Caenorhabditis elegans: one gene and its partners. The protein of the gene in region 3 interacts with the protein of the main gene of each other region in a pairwise test. Each region holds a gene or a part of one and is shown on either strand. Other genes may lie near its edges.

Region 1 (8,981 bases), on a different chromosome or scaffold from region 3:
ACATGGAAAATCAAGATTTCTGGGCAAAAAATAAAAATTTTGAGCCGCTCCGCTCACCATCTGCGTCGCGGTCCATTTTACAGAGGTGGCCGAGAGGGAACCTCGGCCATGACCGCGACGCAACTGGCATGCGGAGCGGCTCAAAAAAATTTATATTTTGCCCCAGATTTAGTGATTTTTCCATCATTTTTGCAGTTGACATGAAAAAAGATGGAAAATCACGATTTCTGGTCAAAAAATTAAATGTTTTGAGCCGCCCCGCTCGCCAGCTGCGTCGCGGTCCATTTTAACGAAATGGCCGACGGGAGCGGCTCAGAATTTGTGATTTCTCATCATTTTCGCAGATTTCTTGCACAAATTTCCAGCTAAATTAGCAAAAATGATACGGGCTAGCTCGCCAAAGTGCTCAGATGGCCCCTGTGCCAGGTATATCTCCATTTCAATGCCCTTCCGATGGGCAAAGTACAGTGGCACGTTCTCTTCACAGCACTTGAGCTCAGCTTGAGCCCTATCAACACAGCAGCTTCAGCTTACGCACCATCGATTATTCAAATCATTCTTTGCTTTCTCGGCGTCCTCTTCCTTCATAAATTTGACGTATACGTTTCCGACCATGTGTTCTCCGATATTCTCACAAACGTTGATCTCCTCCACTTCTCCATATTTTCGCTCCATCTCCACAAAAACCTCCTCGTAGAAATCGTCAAAATAGCGCTGTTCCTGATCATTCCGCTTGCCGACTTTATCGAAAGCATCCGCCTGACGGACATCCACTACCGGATTGTGGTAGAAGTTTTTGAGCACAACTGTTGGCGAGAATGTCGGTGTATGATGGGCTCTGGAGCATTTGTCTCCGTGGCGGCAGGCTCCTGTCTGCAAAAATTATTTAATTATTGAATTTTTTCACAGAAATCCACAACAAACCTTGAAGAAAAACGAGCAATTGACTTTATCCTTCTCAGTACCATAGATTGAGGCCAGGTACTCGGCTCCGGAGAGCCCGTCACCATACGACATTGGGATTCACTAAAAAAAATGATTTTTGACGAAAAATTCAATTTCAGCGGGAAAACCCTGAGAATTACGATTTTTAAACACAAATTCTGACGGAAATACTTCAGAATACAACGTAAAACTCAAAATATCAAGAATTCAATGCAAAAAACAAACTGCGAACCTGAAACAGATAGAAAATGGAAATAATAACCAACTGCCCTGCTAAATTCGAAAACGCAACGAGGCACGCTTTTGTGGGCGGGGCGAGCGTCGGCAAGGTGAGCGCGCGCGTTTTTCTAGCGTTTTCTCTATTTTTCTTTTTTTCTCCCATGACCAGAGATTAATAAATAAGTTGAAATTTAAGTGAATTTCTCTTCAATTTTCCGCGATTATACCGATTAATTCATGCACCAAGGCTGAAAGAACATTTAAAAATCAATTGGAGCTCAAAATTATTTGGAGAAAACTCAAGAATACGAGATTTTTCACTCTAAAACTAAAATTTGTTCTTAAAATGCAAAGTTTTAAATGAAAAAAAAAACATTGATTTTTTTAAATATATAAAAAAGGGGTTTTTGATTCCTTTAAAATTCTCTGCGTCTCTTGCATCTCTCGCCGCGCGCTCTCGGGGACCACTCCTCTTTTGGGGCACGCAAAAATCGATAAGCTTTCGGCGGCGCTTGGCCTCTTTCTTATTTCTTCTTATTTCTCAGTTCCTGAATCCAAATTTACAGAAATTTCGGCGCATTTTCTCTTTTTGTTGCGAAATTCGCATTTTTAGCGTTTTTAATCGAAAAACCCCCAATTGACAAATCCGTGGGAAGTTTACATAGAAATTTCCAGCTAAATTAGGGAAAAATCACGAATTTTAGCCAAAAAATTACATTTTATTGAGCCGCCTCGCTCGCCGGCCGCGCCGCGCCGCGGCCAATTTTTACAGAAATGGCCGAGAGGGAACCTAGGCCACGGCCACGACCGCGACGCAGCTGGCGAGCGGAGCGGCTCAAAAAAATCTATTGTTTGCCCAAAAACATGTGTTTTTTCATCATTTTCGCTGATTCTTCGCATAAATTTCCAGTTAAATTAGAAAAATATGGCTCGTTTTTTCCCTTTTTTGTTGCGAAATTCCCATTTTTTGTCGAAAAATCCCCTGTTCTCCAGATGACAAATCCTTGGGAAGTTTCCGATGCCGAATATCAGAAGAATTTCGCAATGTTCGGCCAATTAACCGGAGGACAACCGTTTATGGATGCGGTCACTGCACGAAATGCACTAATGCGCAGCAATCTGCCAACGCAAGTGCTTTCTCAGGTTGATATTAAACTTTAAAAAAAAAAATGTTTTTATTCAAACAATTTCCAGATCTGGGCGCTGTCAGACTTGGATAAAGACGGCCGGCTCGATATTCGTGAATACTCTATCGCGATGCGACTTGCTCTGAATTGTCTTGCCGGAATTCCGATTCCTCCGCAACTTCCGCCTTCCCTGCTGGTAGTTCCCGCCAGAAATGCTCCACCAACCTGGCCTGGAAGCCGGCATGGCAGTGTAGACTACTCACAAACTCTTCCACCGGCCATTGATCGTCGAATGTCGCAGTCATACATCCCATCTGCACCGGTTTCGATTGCCGGAACTCCATCTAGCAGACACAACTCGATTTCAGCTGGAAGCCCTTTGAATAATGATCGCAATGTCTTCGAAGGCCGGCAGCTGGAAAACTGGGCGATTCCTCACCACAATAAATTAAAATATTCTCAATTGTTTAATGCTCTCGACAAGGAACGTCTGGGCTCCCTGAGCTCACAAGTCGGACGGAGTGCTCTCGGGCTTTCAGGCCTTCCTACCAATGTTCTCGCGCATATCTGGTTTTTGTCAGATGTGAATAAGGATGGAAAGCTATCAGTGGATGAGTATGCGATTTCTCAGTATATGATTGAAATGTTCAAAGTATGTGTTTTGTTACCGGCCAGAAGCTCTTTATTCAAAAATTGCACTTTTTCCATGAAAATCCAACTTTTCTGATCTAAAATTGATATAAAAATGTAGAAAAAGGTTCTTTCCATCTGAAAATATTGTATTTTTCATGTTTTTTCAACAAAAATAAGGAATATTTTCAATTTTATTTGTCAAAAACTTGGAATTTCAAAATAAAAAGTCAAGCCACGTGGACGCTCCTCCCACTTTGCAACATGCGGCGCGAGTTTTCGCAACACTGCCGCACGGTTGTATTTTCTTCACGAATTATAGTTTTTCAGTGAATTTTACAGGATTTTTCAACGTTTTGCTTGTTTTTTTCAGCAAAATTTCATGTTAAAACGCTGAAAAATCTCAAAATTTCAAATTTTTCTGTACGAAAATCGGAAAATACCCTAAAATCATGAAACACCATAAAAATTTCCGCTGAAAAACTTAAAAAAATTTTTTTTTCAGAGTGGATTCGCGCTTCCAAAAATAACCCCGCTGGAACTTGTCCGGATGTGCGGAATCTCATCAAGATCAGCCAACAATACCCCTGAACTCGAACCAGGAGCGGAGCCACCACAAAAGTCACCAGCTCCGAAAACTTTTGAAGATAAGCGACAGGATAACCTATCTAAAGGTCAGGCAGAACTGGAGAGACGACGTAGAGTTCTTGAAGAAGAGGAGCAACGAAGACGAGCAGAAGTAGAGAAGAAAGAGAGAGAAGAAGAAGCGAAGAAAAATAGAGAAAGACAAGAAAAGGAACGACAGGCTGAAGTTGAGCGGCAAGCTGAACTAGAAAGACAGAGAATAATTGAAGCTCAACGGGAGGAAGAGGAGAAGAAGCGGAGGCTAGAGATGGAGAGACGCAGAGAGGAGGACGAGAAAATGAGAAAAGTTCAAATGGAGAAGGCGAAAGTTAAACAGATGCAGGTACAGATGCCTGAACAGAAAAAATGGAATTTTTATGTGGATTCTAGGCGATTTTTTGAGTTTTTCTTTTGAAAATTGAACTTTTGGAACACAGAAATTTTATTTACTCATGATAAAAAAAAACCAAATTTAAATCCCTAATTTCAGAACCAGAAGCAACAAGAGAACGAGCGTCTTGCACAACGTCAGCAACGAGAAAAAACGCTGCAATTTCAATTACAAGCACTTGATGAGAAGGTTATCGATGTTGAAGTGGACATTGGAAAAGCCAAAGAAGCAGTAGCAGAAGTGACTGGATTTATTGAGAGAATGAGATCTACGAGAGACGAGAAAGTCGCGAGAATTAAAGAATTACAAGAGACTAATCAGAAGGTAATACGCGTTTAATCTATATGCAAATTACCCAAAAAAGTTCCAGACAGCTATCGAATCTCAAGAACTCGGCCATCAGCTTCTACAAAAACAGTCGGCTCACAAGGAGACAACGCAGAGAAAAAGTGAACTAGAAGCACTGCGAAGGAAACGAGATGCTATTCGAAAAGCTATAGAAGATGCCGCTCTGGAATTATCCACAGAAAAAGAGAAATCGTATAATCAGACGGAGATTTTAAAGACGAATAAGGAAAAGTATAAGACTGATGTTTATTCGAAACTTGTCGCAAAACGAGAAGAATATCGAAATTCGTTTGAGCTTCTGGTTCATGCTCAGACACATGCCAGGAGCAAAATTGGGGAATTTGAAGCGAAATCTGCTCCAGCTTCAGCTGCTCCAGCTCCTGCTCCTGCTCCAGCTCCTACTACCACCAACGGATTCCCTGCAAACTTCAACGATGCATTCGGAGAATTCGATAAAACCGATGCAAGTCAACGTTTCGACGCGGATTTCGGTGCCACGTCGACAGCGGATCCATTTGCTCAGATTGCTCAGGCGCCAGCTCATTCGAAGGGTGCTGTTGATCAATCGGCGTTCAATATTCATGACACTTATAAGTGTCGAGCTCTTTTTGCGTTTGAAGCAAGATCCGAGGATGAGCTCAGTTTTGAACCAGGTGCTGTCCGAACAGCAATATGTCCCTTTAAATGGCCTTTTGTTGTGTAGATTTACGAGCTTCTCCGGAAAAAGCTCGAAATTTCGGAATTCGTAGGAGAAAAAGTTTGGCATAAAATTCAGGAATTTTTAAATTTTTCCAAAAAAAAATCTGAAAAATTGCAAAATTCCACTAAAATCAAGGAATTTATCTAAAATTTTTAAGAGTTTTTCCAGAAAAAAAGCCAAAAAAAAAGAAAATTTCAATTTTTTTATTCTTATCTCTCATTTAAAATGACTTATTTAATATTTTTGAAATAGTTGCATGGAAAACAAATTAAATGCATAAAAGATGTGAAAAATTTCAGAAAATTTGAATTTTTTCGAAAAAAAAAACTGAAAAATTGCAAAATTCCACTAAAATCAAGGAATTTTACTCAAAAATTCTCAAACTGAGCTGAAAATGATTCCAAAAATTTTGAAATTTGTAGGAGAAAACGTCCAAAATTCAGGAATTTTTAAATTTTTACGAAAAATTATTGGAAAAAAGAACTATTTTTCCGCAGTTTTTTCAAAAAAATTTTGAAATTTTTCAAAAAGTTTGGATTTTTTCGTTTTTGGCAACAAAAAAAACCATCACTAATCAATGTTTACCTAAAAACCCCGTTTTTGTGAAAAAAAAACCCTTTTTTTCCCAAAAAATACCAATTTTTGTCAGAAAAAACTTAACAAAAAGTGTCATTTTTGACAAAAAAAAGGCAAAAATTCGAGAAAAAGTTAATTTTTATTTATTTTTCTTCTAGGAGACGTCATAATCGTCTTCCAATCCCATGCAGCTGAACCAGGATGGCGTGCCGGTCAACTTCGTGAGAAAGTCGGATGGTTCCCAGAAGCATTCGTCGAAGCAATCGCAGCAGTACCTACTCCAGGCGGTGATCCACCTATTCAGAATATGCCACCAAACATGACGCCGAGCTCATCAGTAGATCAAATTGGAGTGAAAGCGGCGCGGAAAGCGGAAATCGCAGCGGCAATGGGATTGACAGAAGGTGGTGCTCCACCTGCTTCAAGTGCTCCAGCAGCAGCAGCAGTAATATCTCAATGTATTGCACAATTCCAATGGAGAGCACGTAATGAGGAGGATTTGTCATTTGCAAAAGGAGATACAATTGAGGTGGAGAGCATTTTGCTGCGAAAAATCCAAAAATTGTCTGAAATTCTTGAGCTTGAACCTGAAAAAAATGAGATTTTACAAGTTTTCCGGCAGAAAATTTGAAAAATTTGAAGTTTTAAGCCAATTCTTAGGAGTTTTCAGCCTATTTTCCTGCAAAAACAGCTTGAAAATGTGATTTTGACGAATTTTTGAAAAAAAAATTGGATTTTCGGTGAAAAAATCGATTTTTAATCTATCTTTCAGCTAAATTGTATGATTTATAAAATAACCTTTTTTCCCAAAAAAAACCATTTTCCCCATAATAACTCTTTTTTCTAAAAAAAAACCTGTTTTCTACCAAAAAAAAACCCATTTTTATCAACAAAGGAACCCAAATTTTCAACAAAAAAAACCTTTTTTACCCCAAAAAAACCTATTTTTCAGCAAAAAAATGAGCGTGGTTTCTGGGGAATTTTTCCAAAAATTTGAAAAAAAATTTAGGATTTTATTCCCATTTCTTCTTTTCACGATTTTTCTTGAATTTCAGACTATTTTTTTTAGATTTTTGAAGGTACACCTTAACTCGAACTAATAACATTAATTTCAGGTACTAGAAAAGCAAGAAATGAAATGGAAAGGTCGAAATCCTGCCGGCGAAATTGGATGGTTCCCGAAAAGTTATGTGAAAGAAGTCGGAGCAACCACCAGCACCACGACTCCGATTGTGTCTCCTTCGAAGGCTTCTGCAGGAGCTCCAGGAGCAGCAGCAGGAGCTCAATACGACGTGGTACCTTCCGATGTGACATTACAAGCCTCCGAAACAGCCCCCCAACAACAACTTTACACTGTGATCTACGATTTTGAAGCTGTCGAGACAACAGATTTGGCACTGCATGTCGGTGACACAATTCTAGTGCTCGAGAAGTAAGTGGAGAGAGGAGCTCTCGCTGCTCTTGACAGGAGCTCATTTGGAATTGAATTTTTTCATTTTTTTGATAGCTTTTCGTATTCTTGCGCTATTATTATTATGCTTAAACGAAAGGTTTCGGGGTATCAATTTATTACATTTTGAACCAAATAAGCCCAAAATTTTTAAAATAATTGTTTCCAATTTTGCAAGGAAAACCCTATTTTTGGCAAAGTAACCTCAAAAAACTATTTCTTGTCCAAAAAAACCTTTTTTTTTTCAAAAAAGTCTAATTTTTGTCAGAAAAAAATCCAAAAATGTGTCGTTTTGCCAAAAACACCAAAAAAATTCCATTTTTGCAACAAAAACAGCTAAAAAATACATTTTTCCCCAGAAAAAAAATCATAAAACTCAGTTTTGCCAAAAAAAAAAACCAAACACGCGTCATGTTTACCAATAAAACTTTTTTTGTTTTAAACCGATTTTTTCAGAAAAAATCCAAAAGTGTCATTTTTAACATTAAAAAAACCTAAAAAGCTATTTTTTCAAAAAAGGCACAATTTTTCTTACTTTTGCCAAAAATGTGTCATTTTCGTCAAAAAAAACCCTGAAAAAAAAACAATTTCCAAAAAACACAATTTTTACCGAAAAAAAATTAAATTTAAAAACCAAAAAAAGCATATTTTCTCAAAAAAATTAATTTCTCCACAAAATTAAAAAAAAGCCCGACAAAATCCAATTTTTGCAAAAAAAAACCGAAATACTCTTTTTTTTCCAAAAAAACTTCATATTAAAAAAAACCCCAAAAACCCAAAAAACTTGTTTTTTAGCCAAAAAAAAATTACTTAAAAACTGAAAAACTGACACCAAAACAAAAATATCAATTTTCAGTGATTTAAATCAAAAAATAATTTCAGAAACGATGAATGGTGGAAAGGGCGTTGCAACGGACGTGAGGGTATCTTCCCAGCCAACTATGTCGAGATATCAGTCCAGCAGGCAGGGGATCCGACTCCACCAACTCAAGCTCCAACTCCAGCGGCTCCACCAACCGTCCTCTGTGAAGCTAAAGTTGTCGTGGATTTTGTTGCATCGGCGCCAAATCAATTGGGAATCAAAGTTGGCGAAATTGTGAAAATTCGTGAAAAATCAGCAGCCGGCTGGTGGGAAGGCGAGCTGATTCGAAATGGAAAACCAATCGCCGGATGGTTTCCTGGAGAATATGTAAAAGTTTTGGAAGAAGCCGCTTCTCCTGCCACTCGAGCCACTGCAGTATACGATTATGAAGCTTCTCAGCCAGATGAGCTGGGATTCAAGACTGGAGATGTTATAATTGTCACTGATAAATCTGAAGCTGAATGGTGGAGTGGACATCGAGAACAAGATCCTTCGAAATCTGGACTTTTCCCATCGAATTATGTTCAGCAGCAATAATTATTTTTAATTTTAGTGTTTTTTGTCGAATTTGCATAATTTTTTATTTATTTTCCATGTACCATAGATTGCCTATTTCACTTGAGTATTCTCCCGCATAATTTATTGATTTCTTGATTCATTGCTCGACACGTGGTGTCAGAGTGTCCCATATTGGTTTGATCTATCTAGAGATCTACGAGAATCGCGCGGGAATTTGAATTTTTTTGACGGCAAAAAATTCCCGCAAAAAACAAATTTTTTTGTAGATCAAACAGTTATGGGACAGCCTGACACTCTATTTAATGCATCCACTTGATTTTTTGAAACTAAACTTAATAAATATTAGTAGAAATAACAATTTTATGGATTAAAACAATCTGTAAAAAATGAAGCGAGATAGGAAAATTAATAAAAAGGGAGAAAAAACCTAAAGGAAAATATAGGCAGGATGTAGGTGACTAGGCAGGCAGGCGGAAATTTTGAAAAATACGAGCTTTTGAGGAAATTTAAAGAAATGTCGCATGTTTCGACCCCTACAATGTTTTAATACAAATCATTTATACAAAATTAAAACATAAAAAATGTCGAAA
Region 2 (6,077 bases), on a different chromosome or scaffold from region 3:
AAACAGTTTTATAGCATATAAAAACCAACAGAAATTCTTGAACCATGTCATTTTTAAGCGCAATTATATAATAAGGACCCCCTACCTTTTTTTAAAAATTAATTACACACTTTTGAACCAGAAAATTTATGTGACTTATATTTTGCTGATACTCACAGAAATACCACGGGAGCAAAACCAGAAGGAATACGTTTTTCAAGTTTTATAGAATACTTATTCAGGATTCAGGTTTTCTAGGCCCATAAAAATGTTAATTGGTATGTAAAAAACTATGTTGTATCGATTTTTTTGCTTTTAACCGATTCTCTTGCGCAACCAGAAAAATTATTCGAAAAAACCTCACATCTACATCTGTTTGCATGATCCTTTCATAGATATCGGAAGTAGACCCGGAGAAAGGTAATCGTCCAGCTAGCAAGAGAAAAAGGACGACACCGGAAGACCAGATATCCGACGAGCATGACACTCGATCTTTTCGCACTATCTCTGGAGCCATGAATTGCGGTACACCTACTCGACCTTCAAATTCGAAATTATATGAATGCACATTTGAAAAACGAGTCATACCACAAGCCATTGAACCACCAATTTCAGACAAATCTTTTGCAACTCCAAATCCACACAGTTTCAGTGGAGCTGAAGTATCTTTTCTGAAAGTTCACATTGAACTGTTGTTTTTCTATATTAATTAACTTACGACGCTAATACTAAATTGTGAGGCCGTACATCTCTATGAACAATTTTCCTAGTGTGACAGTAATCTAGAGCATCTAGGAGCTGCCGTGTATAGTGACTGAAAAATTTATGCTAATTATTTTTACACACACACGGCGTGTAAATTGGTACCTCTGGCCTAGAAAAAAGCTTGAAAAACAAATGTACGCAATTATGAAAATGCGCGTGGTGTTTGCGGACTTGACTACCGTAGTCCACATAAATTTTAGCAATTAATACTTCCCGGTTTCGTTTTATATGAAAATATCCTTGAATTCAAGCAAAAAATGCATTATCTTTTTGGAAAAGAATAAAAGAAACACTAAAATTACATTAAATTCAAATACAAAAAAAAGTGAACTACGCAGAAAACGAAACAAGGCAGTTTGAAGAACTGCATTAATGAACAGCAATTTTAAGTGTAAACTTGTGATGGTGGGTATACATTTTATGTACTTAAATTGTTCAAAAACCTTCATTTAGTCAATTGGTGAAGTTTCAAAACCTTTGTGAATCTAGTTTTTGAAAAAATTTCAAATTGGTGCCAATTTCACTGATTTTTTGTGAATTTCCGAGCTAAAATTGAAAAATTCAATGTGAACTTGTGACGGTGGGTATGGTTTTTATGCACATAATTTGTTTGAAATGCTCTACCGAGTAAACTGGTGAAGTTTCAAAAACTTTGTGGGCATAGTTTTTGAAAAAAGTTCAAAAATGTGCCATTTTTGTCGAATTTTAGTGGTTTTCGGAGCTAAAATAGAAAAATTCAATAGGAACTTGTGACGGTGGGTATGAATTTTTTGCACACAATTTGATTAAAGTAGTCTACTGAGTAATCTGGTGAAATTTCAGAAAATTTGTGGATCTAGTTTTTGAAAAAAGTTCAAAAATGTGCCATTTTTGTCGAATTTTAGTGGTTTTCGGAGCTAAAATAGAAAAATTCAATAGGAACTTGTGACGGTGGGTATGAATTTTTTGCACACAATTTGATTAAAGTAGTCTACTGAGTAATCTGGTGAAATTTCAGAAAATTTGTGGATCTAGTTTTTGAAAAAAGTTCAAAAATGTGCCATTTTTGTCGAATTTTCCTAATAATTGCCTAATAAATCGAATTTCCACTTTTATTTAGGAAAATAATCGTTGTTATATGTGATTTATCCATTTTAAAAACAATTTTGTATATATTTTTGCAGTTTTATCCATTATAATGTCTCATTCATCGAATTTCAATGATATTAAAAATTTAAATTCAAATTTCGCGCGCTTTGCAGCGGCCATGGCCTAGGATTCTCACTTTTCACTTTTCGCTAGGCCAGATGTCCCAATTTACACGCCGTGACACACAGTCTATATTGTAAAAATACAAACCTTACTACATATTCAGAAAATACGAATCCATTACTTGCTCTTTGAACTATTTCAAAACAAATATCATTTCCCTCCATGTTCTCAAAAATGATATGTCGATAATGAACGCTGTTGATAGTTTTTTCCAGTCGGCATATGTAAGGGTGCTGTAGATTTTGGCATATTCTAATTTCCTCGTCGATTTCTGAAAAAGAGATGGTTTGGAATGAAATAATTATATTTAGATCGGATTCGGTAAAATGATCAAAGTTCGAAATGACACATGATGGCTGATAGATTGATTGATGAATTGGGATTGGAGCTGCTGAGCTCATGAGATGAGAACTTTGAGGACATTTTGTGCGCTTCTGATTGGAAAACTGGTGGCGAGAATAATAATATCCGCTGCGGGGACTTTTTTTTTCTCAATTTTTAAAAGTGCACTCAGGTTGTTTTTTGAGAAATTTTTTATTCTTCAAAATCCACAATAAAGGTCAAAACATAACTTTAAAAAAAAAGTGTATTAACCACCTGAATTTGTTCAATTCGAAAAAAAACATCAAAAACTAATAATTCAGTCTTTTGTGAGACAGTGTGTTGAAACGATGACTTCCTGTTTTTAAAATGTTGAAACTTTTCTTTAACGGTCTCAATGGTATTTGGATGAAAACCAATGAAATTGGATATTTTTATTCTAATTAACTTTTTTTTAACTGCATTTGAGCCTCCTTTCGAAAGATATTAGTTCATCACTAGATCGATTAACATTACAAAAACCTATCAATTTTTGTAAAGACAAAAAACCAAAATTAAAAAAAGACTTTATCAAAATGGGAGAAAACTATTTTTGATACTTGTATAGTAGAGCAACTACAGCTACTACAAAAGTACACTGCTTCAACTTTTGAATTGAACAAATCATTTTAGTAGGTGCGTAGAATTTTTTTGGAATACGACTACTACATGTAGTCGTACCCCATGTAACAACTGTATAACAATAATTGTACCTTCAAATCCTAACCCGGTGTGCTGTCTGAACAAATTCAAATTGATTGATCTCAGTAAAAATTTTCGATTTGATGGTCCATGAAGTATTCGGTATACATTTGAAAATGGACCTCTGGAAATTCTTAGTTATTTCAAGAATTAACTGAATTTTCAAAAATCTTACTGTTCTATCACATCCCGGATCGACAGTTGTTCATCGAGGAGAAGGTTCGACTCGTCCGGGTCAAGCTCCCTCATTCTGTTTTAGCTGAAAAATGCTGATAAACGTGAATAAACAAATGATAAAGTTGAAGAAAAAAAAGAGATAACCAGAAAAAAACTCATAGGGACAGTGAATGATTATTAAATTGAAAAAGCATATCAGGCTCGCATGAATATTGAAATAGAGAGACTGGAGAGAAAATGGCAGTTTTTTGGGTCGGCGGCGGGGGGGGGGGGGGGGGCTCTACGCGTTTTCTTTCGGCCAATTTGATTTGATCGTTAGGAGGAGATATAATGTCAATAAATGATTGCAAGAGAGATTCATGTTTTATCAACCCCGCAACATTCTTTCGAGAACTAAAAAATTGAGGATTTGAGGTGGTACTTGTCTGATGGAAAATCTCATGTTGCGGTCTTATAAAAAGAGGTAAGCATTACGTCATTAATTTTAATGAACTTGAGTGCGTGGGGGACGGAAATCGTTAAACTTAGGATTTTTTCTTGTTTATAACATAATATTTTCTGCAAAATGCAAAATCAAACCATCCAATCTTAAATTATTGAAGCAGAACAACTATGTGAAAGAAAGTTTGATTGCGGCATGGCAGAGGAAATCAAGACAAATATGGACACTTTTCATCTTTTCCACCTCTAGTTTCCTATTGAAACGCGGCTGTATTTGTCATTTAGCAAACATTCCTGAATTTGCCGGAATAGTATCGTGTTTATTCAAAGTTGGCGGGTTAGCCAGATGTATTTGTAACAAAAACAGTAAACAGATTTGAAATCTTTTCAAAACACTAAACTTTAAGTTTGAGAGATGCTGAAAAAAAATTATTTGATATGAAAATCGTAATGTAATGTAATAGAAGCAATTACGTGCATGGGTTTTACTACGATCAATTACATAGAGAAACCTACATTTTGATTTTCCTACGTTCTCAAATGACTTGGGATCTAATTCTAATGCTCAAAACAATAACTCCTTTAAGGCTAACAAAGCCATTTTTTAAAGTTTTTTTTTTCAAACAATTTCGGTTTGCATCTTTTTCTGCATACTCTTTTTATTTCCGTTTCATACGTCTACTTAAAACTTTTTGAAAAATTCATTTCCATTTGGTGCAATAACTTCAACCAAAAAGTGTAACTATTCAAAAAATAATCGAGATTTATTTCAAGGAAATAACATTGAGCACAATAATTTCATAAAACTACCATTTTGTGCAGAGCTATACCAAAAACATGCTGAAAATATGTTTACTGTTAAGGTTACTACTAGTCTCAAATTTTTGACATATATATATATACTTTTATAATTTTTTTTTAGTTTGTCAGTTTATTTTAATCTGTATACACTAAACTCTTACACAATTTAAGTATTTCGCATTTTGTCACTACATATATTCCAGTTCACATTGAAGTTATTTGGAAGTTATTGCTTCTGAAATGCCCAATATATGTATACTCTGATTATACCATGGTTATTTTTTGTTTTTAATGGAACTTTTAAATTACTTATAAACTTTTATGTAATGGTTTTTACGTTTTTGTTTCAAAAACAATTTTAAATTGAAAAAAAAACTGAGTAGACAAAATTGAAACACCAACTATACATCCCAGTCTTAAACAACTATCAAAAACCGCGAAATATTAGCTTTGTGAAAAATTGGGATGCAAAAATGTTCAATTATTAGTCTCTCCATCGAATATTCAACAAATAAGGTGTTAGCAAAATAATGGGAAATAAGAAGAAAAAACAAATTTAATTAAAGAAGAAGACATAAATAACTACATAAAAAGGAAGGGATGAAGGAAAGATATTACATTTTTCTTTTTTTTTTCTTGGATTTGTAAGATATGACAAAATCTCAAAGCAGAAAGAAAAAACGAATAAATATGAAAAAAAAGAAAATATGAAGTTTTTTTTGACACCGGAAAAAAACTGGATGAAAGAGGCTCGACAAAGAGTAGAAAGTGGATGTTATCTCTCCCAGTCTCCAGAGATACACAGTTTTATGAGTGTCGGTTGGGTGAGTTTGCAAGATAAACACGATGAACACCTGTTTCTATGATGCACGGACGATGCAAAACAATTCATTGGATGATACAGCTCCGTCTTGATGGAGTCGATGGAAAGTGAGAGGAAGAAGAAAGAATTGTGGAAGAGCACCAATTTTTTGGCTTCCGGTAAGTTGTTGGCATTTTTTGTTACAATTTTAGGGGCTGATTTTTTTTGAAAATGAACTTTTTTGTTTTCTAGGTGAAAAGAGGAAAGTGAAAGATTACTTTCTCAAATCCGGCTTCATTTCTAATTCCTGGGATCTTACTTAAATGAATAAAACTAAATGAAACTAGAGTATTTGGAAATAAAGCCTTGAGGTAAAAAAGAGTATGCTCAGTTGAACTTTTTAAACTTTCCTTGGTGATTATTTCTTAAATTTATTTTTCAAAATTATTTATAGCTGTTTGAAAATTCGAAAAATTGCCTAATGTCATCAAAAATCCTCAACTATGGTTTTTTTTTCGTGTCACAACGAATTATTATTATTTGCATATTTTAGTTGGTGATTTTACTTTATTTTGTTAGATAAAATACATACAGCTGAAAAGTGACTAACATTGCAAAAATTGAAAAAAAAAGTTACTACTGGAACACTATTTGGAATTTTAATTTGTAGGAGGCTCTATTGGAAATTTTGTCAAAAAATACTTTTAGAAAACTAAACACGGAGAACAACTGGGAATCTTTTACTTTAATGTTAAATAATTCGTTTTTGGAAATTGCGTTTAAAAAGTATCATTTTTAA
Region 3 (9,134 bases):
TTTGATCGAAGGTACATTTCTCTCTTTTATCGACCGACTCATTCTCCAAGATATGATTAATGTGTCATTTGATGATTGCGACGTGTATTCACAACAAAAGAGCTCAGCGCTTTGCGAAGAGCAACAGTTGGCTACCACTACCACCATCATCTCAACACCTGAGGGAGAGCAGGAGATAAAGAGACATCACACCGCTTCTTCATATTTCGGTTACTAGCACTAATCACTCAGAGCGATGCGGCTGTCTCAATATTGAAGATTTGACACGCACATATATCGGTTTTGACATTGCCTCCACAAGGGATCATATGAACTTAGGAGTCTTACAGTAATTGAGAAAATGTCAAAATTGATTATATGAATTTTAGATTATTTTAGACTTCTTTTAATTTATAGCTTCTGGGGAATCTCCTAAAAAAGTATTGGGTTTCGTTTTTAAAACTTTAGTGGTCACATGAAAACTTTGAAAACTCAATTATTGTTGTGCTAGAGGCTCAATTCCAAATCCATCCATCTTTGTATTTGGAAGGCAATCATTCCAAAATCTATTCCCAAGAAACAAAAAATATGGTCTATAGGAGAGCGGAGCACTTGATTGAAATGATGCACATACATACCCACACAGACACAAATTAACATTTCCTCTGAGAATAGGCAATTTTGAAAACATGAGGGAAATGCACATAGCATGCGTAGAGCTGCTTCTTAATTGTTCATTACATATTACGAGTCAGTGCTACGATGTTTATCTTCTAAAAACGCATTTTGCTTGTCATGTTTCGAAACAAATGAGTGCGCGAACAACGAGTATCTGTGCATTTATATCTATGAGTGTGTTGTTCTCAATAATAACAGAGACAGGAAGAGGAGCAGTTGGACGAATCGACGCGTCATATGTGTTTTTGCATGGGACCCCTCTTGTTCTTCTTCCTATTGTGACCAGCACTACCGCATCTTTCCGTTCATTCGATTTATGCATTACACCATACTTTGACGAGTTCGACAACATGCATTAAGTGATACAACGTGTCCTCCACTCTCTACACATGTCCCTACAATTCCATCAACATACTAATTAATGAGAAGAAATGATTGGACTATGTTTCGGATTTAGCTATCGTAATTTTAAGGGAACTACTTTAAAGGAGAAACAATTTTAGATATTTGAATTTATTGTTTATCCTTAATGCAAAAATCAAGGTTTCAATATGATCTGAGCAAGAGAAGCGATGTTCTACTATAAAATAACTATATCACAGGTTTGATACAGGTGTTCGAAAGAACTGTTTCCCATGCAACCAGCCATCTGTCTATTGTAAGAACAAGAAAACCAATCGAATGCCTATTCAAAAGACACTAAGTGTTTTGCCACTGAACAGATCATCCCATCGTTTCGGACGTCGGCTCCTAATAGACTCCACTACTAATCACTTCGAATATCATTTGCATCGGCTCATCTTAACAAAAAAGGCGGGAAACGAGAAGACCGGAAGATGTTCGCCAGCTGCCTCTTTATGAAATGAAATACGTGTATGGCACGGCGCGTGTTCCACACAATCGCCGATTAGACAATTGTTGAATGAATAAAAGGGGAACGTCGCCGTCCTTTTTCCTATCTGCTCTCATCATGCGCACCAACCTCGCGCACTATTCCATTACACAATATTCCTGGAGACACATCGTTTACTATGATCTATGCAAATGTCGTCAAAACAATCATCTAATGAGACAAAAGCTGCAGCAGCAGTTATAACAAAAAGGGGGAGAACAAATGTTGTGGCCAATTGCTTGAAACATACGGGATAAATTTGATAGCAGCGTAACCGCTTACAAGATGAGATTATAGTGACATCCGATCCGTGGAATGTGTGTGTGTGTGTGTGTGCAAATACGTCGTCGCGCATCCTAAATATGCCACAAAACATGTGCTCCTAACAATTGCGGGAAGCAAAAAGAGCAACACTGATTTGCTTATTAAAGGGGCCGAAGAAAAAAGAAATATAGATCAGATATCGTAGTAAAACTTCTCGAAAAATCAAGTTTCCTAATTTGCAGTCGAAATTGGCAACTACCTAGATACCACCTATTTTAATTTTGGAATTCGACCGAAAATAGGCAATTATTCAAGTATTATAATTTAATTTTTTGTATTAAAACATTTTAGGGTGTCGAACATGGAATAATGCTCTAAACTTTACAAAAAGCTCAACTTTCCGAAAATTTGGCATTGTGCGTACAAATAACCCCTAATGTAGTGAAGATCACATCTACTAAAATTGAAGGTTCTGTGATAAGAAAGTTTCCTTTCAGCTTTTGTGTTGCCCTCTCATCCCAAAAAAGATCTGATTATTGAACATAGTTTTTTTTGCTGTGAAATGTGTAATATTTATGTGAAGAGACGAGCCTTTGTCGATCAACGTTTTTATGTGCGCCTACTAATATCATTTTATGTGGGCAATGCACATACATACACACACTCATCCACGTTTTGGTATTGAACAAAATTAATCGAAAATGTAAAATGACATATAACATGTATGTGCCAACAATGTGTTGTGTGATGCGAGAGCATTCGGTCCAGTAGTGCAACGTCGACGAAAATTAAAAAATCTGATCTATTCGTATGGATAAGATGCCCGCCTTTCACACTTCCTATGTCAAGTGATGAAAACGAAAAATGCAGAAATTATTGCTTTTGTTTCCAATTCAAATTGTTTCGTCTAACAATCATCAAAAATTAAAAGACAAGGAAATGAGGGGCCTTCCTCTTTCACTGGGGGAACTCATGATAAATCTCCCACACTTCTCTTTTCTAAGAGTATATTCTGTCTGTAGAAAGGGCCGAGACATCAGAATTTCGAAACAATTTTAGATACGCCACCGGGGTCTAAATGAAATTCGATATGATAATTGCATTTTCTGAGCAAACAGGAAAAGATTTTCGATCGTGCACGCTGTCATCAGTTTGCCATCGTCTTCGTCACTTTATACTCATTATCTAACATTTATCCATAGCATGTCAAACGAGCCGACTTTTGCTTCTGCTCAGCGACGACGGCACAGAAGAAGCAGAAGACGGAGCATCGTCTTGTTACATTATTCAGAACAGACACACGATGACTTCTTCTTTCTTGCTCGCGCACTTCCGTCGCTGTCACAGAGCAAACGGCGACTCGGCGCAACTCATCAGCTTCTAAATTTGAGCAAAAACTTTGATATATGAAATGAAGGGGGAACTTCATTTGATGTGAGGCTTCAACTAATCATCCAAATTTTCATTTCAATTTGGAAAATTCAAAAGACCACGGAATCGAGAGGGAAGTATAAAAAAAACTATACTATGGGAAATTATTGGATTCGGTGATATTATTCTAAATCGATCTGTCGATTGAATTAGAAAGGAAAGCTTAAAATAGTTCAATTAGCTGAAAAAGTTCTTTGAACCCATGATGTTTCAATAACTATCATACAGACAATAGAAAGTTTTGGCAATTGCCGATTAAAAAAATTTTACCACTTCGATAAATTCACAATCCAAAAATAGGCTATTGTCGAGTTTTCAAATTTTGCAATGAATAAAAAATAAGAAAAACTGATTTCTACAGTAGTAATGCTTTTTTTTTAGCTTTTTAAATAGAAATTTTCTCTTTTTCAGTTCATAAAATCTTATTATCTCGTTATTTCACTCTGAATATTTTTTTTTCTAGACAATTCGAGAAGGCCGAACTTGAAAATAATCACCTCTGCTCCCATAAGAAGTGACATAAGAAATCAAATATTCAATATACTCACTCTTCCTCCTCCCATATTCATTGAATTGAATAAATCGGCAAGTCCGTTTGCAGAGTTTGCTCTGAAATGAGAAAAAACTATCAGCTATAAAAACTATCAACGAACCCAGCAGAAGATGCATTGGCATCAGAACCGAATGCTCCACCTCCCATTGCTCCAGCTTGGAAAAGGCTAAAATAATTTTAAATAGTTTTTGACTAAATGGTATTTTCAAATACTTCAAAAGTTGAGGTGCTTCTCTGCGAAGAGTTGAAAATCCCTCTTGAATTTGACGGAATGCTTCACTGACCCGTGGGTTTCTCATTGCCTCCATCACAGATGGATCAGACATCTGAAATTTTGAAATATAAATTTTTGTAAAAATTTAGAAAATAAACCATGTTGAGCATTTGTGGAAAACTTCTACGAATTCCTTCGGAAATCTGTGGGTTATCACGAGCCGATGGAATTTGTCCAACAATCTGAACTTACATAATTATTTTAAATTTTTTAAAAATGAAACTAACGGAATCAATGAGTCCAGGATTGTTTGACATATTTTGACGAATTGAATTGATGACTTCTGGGCTGAACATACTGGCCTGCATACTTGGATTGGACATCATCTGCTCCATTAGGGAGCTGATGCCAGGTGAATCAAGCAATGCTGAATATGAATTAAAACATTATTAACGGATCACTAAACTATGAGGATATTCGTGACGTTTAAATATTTTGTTTAAAATTATAATAAATGGTGGGCGGCAGACGTAAAATTGGGCGAATTGGAAATTTGTCGTTTTGAAATTTTTGTTGGAAATTTTTTAAGGAAAATGTTCAAAAATACATTGCTGAAAATCTTTTTTCACATTTACAATTTTTTAATTTTTTCGGCAAATTGATATTTGGCATTTGCCACTCGTCATTGATTATTATATGATTTTAATGTAAGATTTTTTTTTACTTAGAGAAATTTGACTCAGAAAAACTTACAATTAAAGTCAGCAGAACGATTATTCGATTGATTATTGGTAGCTTGATTGGCGTTTGAAGCCCATGGATTTGGCAGAGCTTCATTATTTTCTTGTCCAGCACGATCGACACGTGGCTCACTGCTCTGATCACCTCTTAGAGAAGCAAATGGATTTCCACTGAGCGAATTTGTTGCACTATTGAGCAAGGGCTCCTGTACATCATTGTACAACCGTTCAAGAGCAGCTTCTCCTCCGGGAATTCCCTGAAAATTGAATGTTTCAACATAAAATAACAAATCCAACCGAAAAAAAGGAAAATCTGTTGAAATTGGAATTCAAGACAAAAACCCCTGTAGCGCGGCTGGGATGGAATATATAGTTTCCAGAAATGTACCCCTGATATTAAAAAAAAATTAGCAATTTTTTGCCATATCAATTAAAATAACAATTAATTACTTTTAATAGTCATATTTAGACATTTAGATCGGCATCCTTGATCGATTTTTTAAAACTAAAACTGAAAAATCAGAATTTTTCGTTTTTCGATTTTAGAGAGAAAAAACCGACTTTTTCAATTTTTAAAAAATGGTATTAAATTTTGGTAATTTTTCTTTTTTTTAGACAATTGTTAGATAACATTAAAATGTCTTCGTATGTTTTTTGTCACCAACATATATGACACAAGTTGTGTGTCACACAACTTGATAAAAATCAAATTTTATTGATAATTTTCTGGACTTTTTTTCTTCGATGTTTCGATTTTCGCTGAAAACATTGAAAAATTGAAAAATGGCATCCCTTGATCAGCATAGCTATATATAATGTACCTGAAGATTCCTAATAGCTTGATCATGATTCCGCATCATTTCTTGGAACATATTTGGATTACGAATCATCTCCATAGTTTGACGCATTACATTCGGATCGTTGAGAATGTGTCCAACTTCTGGATTTCTCTGAAAATATTTATTGTCGATATACGAGAGAAATGTGGAAGATTAAAAAATTAAATAATTTTTCGAATCCGAAAATTTACAAAACAAATATCCAGGAAAAACTCGAACCTCAATCAATGCTTGGAATTGTGGGTTGGATTGAATAATTGTTCTCATAAACTCTGGATTTCCTAGAAGTTGTTGTGTAATTGGATTATCCATAACTGAACGCATAGCATCTGGATTGTTTAAAATATCAGCAGGTGATCCCATTCCTCCCATTGCTGCAAATGGATTATTGGTAGGATTCGGTTGTGAAGAAGGTGTTGGATTGGAACTTGGTGCAGATGAAGCTGTTGGTGTTGCAGCAGCCGGCGCTGGTGTTGGACGGGCTTGATTTCTAATAACCAAGTGGACGGTGTGACCATCAGCGATTTCTAAATTTTTGTTTATTATTTTTTGGAACACATTTTTCAACTTACTGTGCTGTGTGAGAGTTTCTTCATCCTTCAGAATTTTTCCGGTGTAAATTATACAAACTTGTTCTTTGTTCGCAGTTGGAACGAACACAAGAACCTTGTCTTTTAGCTGTAAAATATTAATTAAACACTGTGATTTACACATTTAATTTATCAAAATGGAATAATCACTTGAATTTTTATCTAATTCTCAAGAGCAAAATTTTATTTTTTAAATAAAATATAACATACTTCTGAAACTGATGCATCCGCAGCAATCTCAACGTCATACTTGTTCGACGGTGATTTCACGTGAACTTTGATGAGTGCACTCTCTGTAGCCATCTTAAATTTGAGAAATATTAAAAAACCGACAAAATTAAATAAAGAAAAAGGATTGAGAGAATGAGAGGCGGAGACGGAAAAGAACACGTTGCATCGATAAATCGAGAATATTCTCGAAGCGCAAAAAGAAATTTCGCAACTATTTCAGACCGAATAATGTAATAATGTAATGGGTCTCTTCGATAGAAAATAAACGAAGATAAACGAAGACACAATTCTTCCTGACGCGCGAGCTTCAATATGCACGTGATGACTAATTTGGTTTCCATGGTGATCTTTTTGTTCCTTTTATCGATTCAAATTTACAATAAAAATAAGAAATTAAAGTTCTAAATGGCGCTCCAATCAATTTGCCTTCCAATTTAACGTCGATTCCTTCTATATCAGGTCATAAAATGAATAAAAAACAATGATCAATAAAATGATGCGGTAGTTGCGTAAATCGACACATGATGGTCGCCTCTTCCGTGCGAGACCCATTGGGCGGAGTTCTCACAAGAATGAGGCCAATCGGCACACAACACGCGTGCGACAGGCAGTGAACGACGTGTTTTTGGCTCAGTTCCTACCAATCCCTGGTGTACACACGAGCGCCACGTGGACCTTAACAATTCGGGTCTATTTTTATGCTTCTGCTCTGCATTTTCTGGATTATTAGTAATAATATCATTAAAAGTGATATAACGCTCCCCGAGTCTATATAAAATTTCTCCTCCATACAACACATGTTTTTTGGCTTTCTTCTTCTAAGCTTAAAATTTATAGTTATTTACTAACTGTATTTTCCACTTATTAAAGATAATTTTTGAAAAGTGTTTGTAAATACTTAAAATTGAACCCGAAACAATCTGTATTTGTCCATTCACATGTGATTCACAGAAAAGAATGAAAATAAATGCGAAAAAAAAATAAATAAAGTAAAGGCGCATTGATTTTACCGCTCGCGGTATCTCGCCACGAAAACACGTTTCGCGTCAAGCGGCTCACGTTTTCGATGCGATCGCGGTTTGTTAATTGCGAAAACACCTTCCCTTCTCTTCAATCGTTCGCTCAATTTCTAGAAAATATTTCTGAATAATCTGAAAACCTCTAATCTTGTTTCTTAGTTTTTAACTTTTTGTCGGTGTTCCCGATAATCTCTCGCCCTCTAAACTCACTCGATCGATTGTCGTTTATAGGTAAAGTTTTTAGGTAATGATTTGGGTCCAGGCAGCTTTGGTCGCCTCCTTCCTGGCGTTCGCCAGTGCTGGAGGAGCCGTTCTCGAGTATACCGACGGAAACTTCGATGATCTCATCCAAACCCACGACATTGCTCTTGTCAAGTTCTACGCTCCCTGGTGCGGACACTGCAAGAAAATTGCCCCAGAGTATGAGAGAGCTGCCCCAAAACTCGCATCTAACGATCCACCAGTCGCTCTCGTCAAGGTAAGATAACCATACTTATTTACACAGCCATCGCTCATATATCGATCGCAGTGACACTGACAAATACGCGAAAGCTGATAAAACAGCAACGAAAGCCACATTGAATAGAAATATATGAAATGCATACAAAGGATTCTTTGAATTTATTGTTCTAGTCCTTATGCATATAGAAACATTTGTCCGTCATATATATTATGTATGCTGGTCCAAAATGGTTATTGTGTATTCAAAAGGCCATTGACAATGAGATCGGCTCGACATTTACATTTTCCCACGCATCAAATCACTGTTTGTTGTCAGGTCTTTACTCTACAGAATACGGACATCAATTAACGATAAGAGCAAAAACACCAGTCGCGTAGCAAACAGTTTTATCTATACCACAAACGAGTGCGATATGGTAGTAAATGAAACAAAAGATTATGTTTTTGAAGTTGAAGATTGTAAAAAAAAAGAAACAAAGATTTGAACCACGGTTTAGTAATAGGAATCCAGCCCCCCTTTAAGAATTCTCAGTTTTGAAACAGTAAATTCAATATTATCTCGAAAACGATCTATCACATGTGCATTGCCATAGAGAATAGTATATGTTTGAAATTTTTGAAGCAGTAATTGACAGACTTTTTCAATTAAACATTTTACGGTGTTCCTTTTGGCAAACAATTCCTCTTCTTTTCACGTGTATCTTTGTAAAATTCTCGAAATCTCTTTCCCAGTGTTATCCGAAAAAAGGCGGAGCTTGCCGCAAAGACCCAGAAAAATGGGCGTCACGCTCAAGTTTTCGAGAAAATATAAGATCCACCTCCTTGCGTTGTACGGCTCTGACACATTTTCCGGAGTTTTTTCAATGAAAAGAGGCCATAAAACTTCATTTGACCGACTTCGTTGTAATTTCGTGATTCTAAAATTAGCAACGCATGTTATCGTTAGAAAACAAGTAGTTAGGGATGGTCACCAAGGGTGTCAGTGTCCCGTAAAAATTACAAAAACGGGACAGTGGGATGTCCCGTTCCCGCGAAAACACCCAAAAAACGGGACAACGGGACATCCCGTTCCCGTGAAAACGCTCAAAAACGGGACAGCGGGACGTCCCGTTCCCGTGATAATTTTAAAAACGGGACAACGGGACGTCCCGTTCCCGTGAAAACACCCAAAAAACGGGACAACGGGACACGGGACTTGACACCCTTGATGGTCACCAAATCATGTGCTACACAGCACCCTAG

The links.
Region 1: the proteins of ubql-1 (region 3) and itsn-1 interact in a two-hybrid assay, tested with the Caenorhabditis elegans proteins (3 studies listed by BioGRID).
Region 2: the proteins of ubql-1 (region 3) and lin-2 interact in a two-hybrid assay, tested with the Caenorhabditis elegans proteins (2 studies listed by BioGRID).

What each region holds. Positions count from the first base shown.
Region 1 is NC_003282.8:17,117,527-17,126,507, forward strand, and holds itsn-1 (Intersectin-1), read left to right. Parts: upstream 1-2,155; 5' UTR 2,156-2,157; coding exon 2,158-2,307; intron 2,308-2,358; coding exon 2,359-2,943; intron 2,944-3,426; coding exon 3,427-3,888; intron 3,889-4,035; coding exon 4,036-4,260; intron 4,261-4,300; coding exon 4,301-4,937; intron 4,938-5,718; coding exon 5,719-6,089; intron 6,090-6,675; coding exon 6,676-6,992; intron 6,993-7,892; coding exon 7,893-8,409; 3' UTR 8,410-8,743; downstream 8,744-8,981. Other genes in the region: uaf-2 (Splicing factor U2AF 35 kDa subunit), read right to left, coding at 539-873, 925-1,017.
Region 2 is NC_003284.9:12,410,720-12,416,796, forward strand, and holds the start of lin-2 (Protein lin-2), read right to left. Parts: upstream 3,323-6,077; 5' UTR 3,307-3,322; coding exon 3,233-3,306; intron 3,182-3,232; coding exon 3,069-3,181; intron 2,267-3,068; coding exon 2,083-2,266; intron 794-2,082; coding exon 698-793; intron 651-697; coding exon 568-650; intron 520-567; coding exon 344-519; intron 1-343. UniProt on the Caenorhabditis elegans protein: May play a structural role in the induction of the vulva. May be required for the localization of signal transduction molecules (such as let-23 receptor) to either the basal membrane domain or the cell junctions.
Region 3 is NC_003279.8:7,019,331-7,028,464, reverse strand, and holds the start of ubql-1 (Ubiquilin), read right to left. Parts: upstream 6,484-9,134; coding exon 6,391-6,483; intron 6,269-6,390; coding exon 6,163-6,268; intron 6,118-6,162; coding exon 5,810-6,117; intron 5,702-5,809; coding exon 5,573-5,701; intron 5,009-5,572; coding exon 4,765-5,008; intron 4,439-4,764; coding exon 4,299-4,438; intron 4,254-4,298; coding exon 4,170-4,253; intron 4,124-4,169; coding exon 4,011-4,123; intron 3,964-4,010; coding exon 3,898-3,963; intron 3,854-3,897; coding exon 3,793-3,853; coding exon of another isoform or gene 3,772-3,792; exon of another isoform or gene 3,742-3,771; intron 1-3,741. Other genes in the region: pdi-3 (Protein disulfide-isomerase), read left to right, coding at 7,678-7,908. UniProt on the Caenorhabditis elegans protein: May play a role in the ER-associated protein degradation pathway (ERAD) possibly via its interaction with ER-localized proteins ubxn-4 and cdc-48.1 and/or cdc48.2, providing a link between the polyubiquitinated ERAD substrates and the proteasome.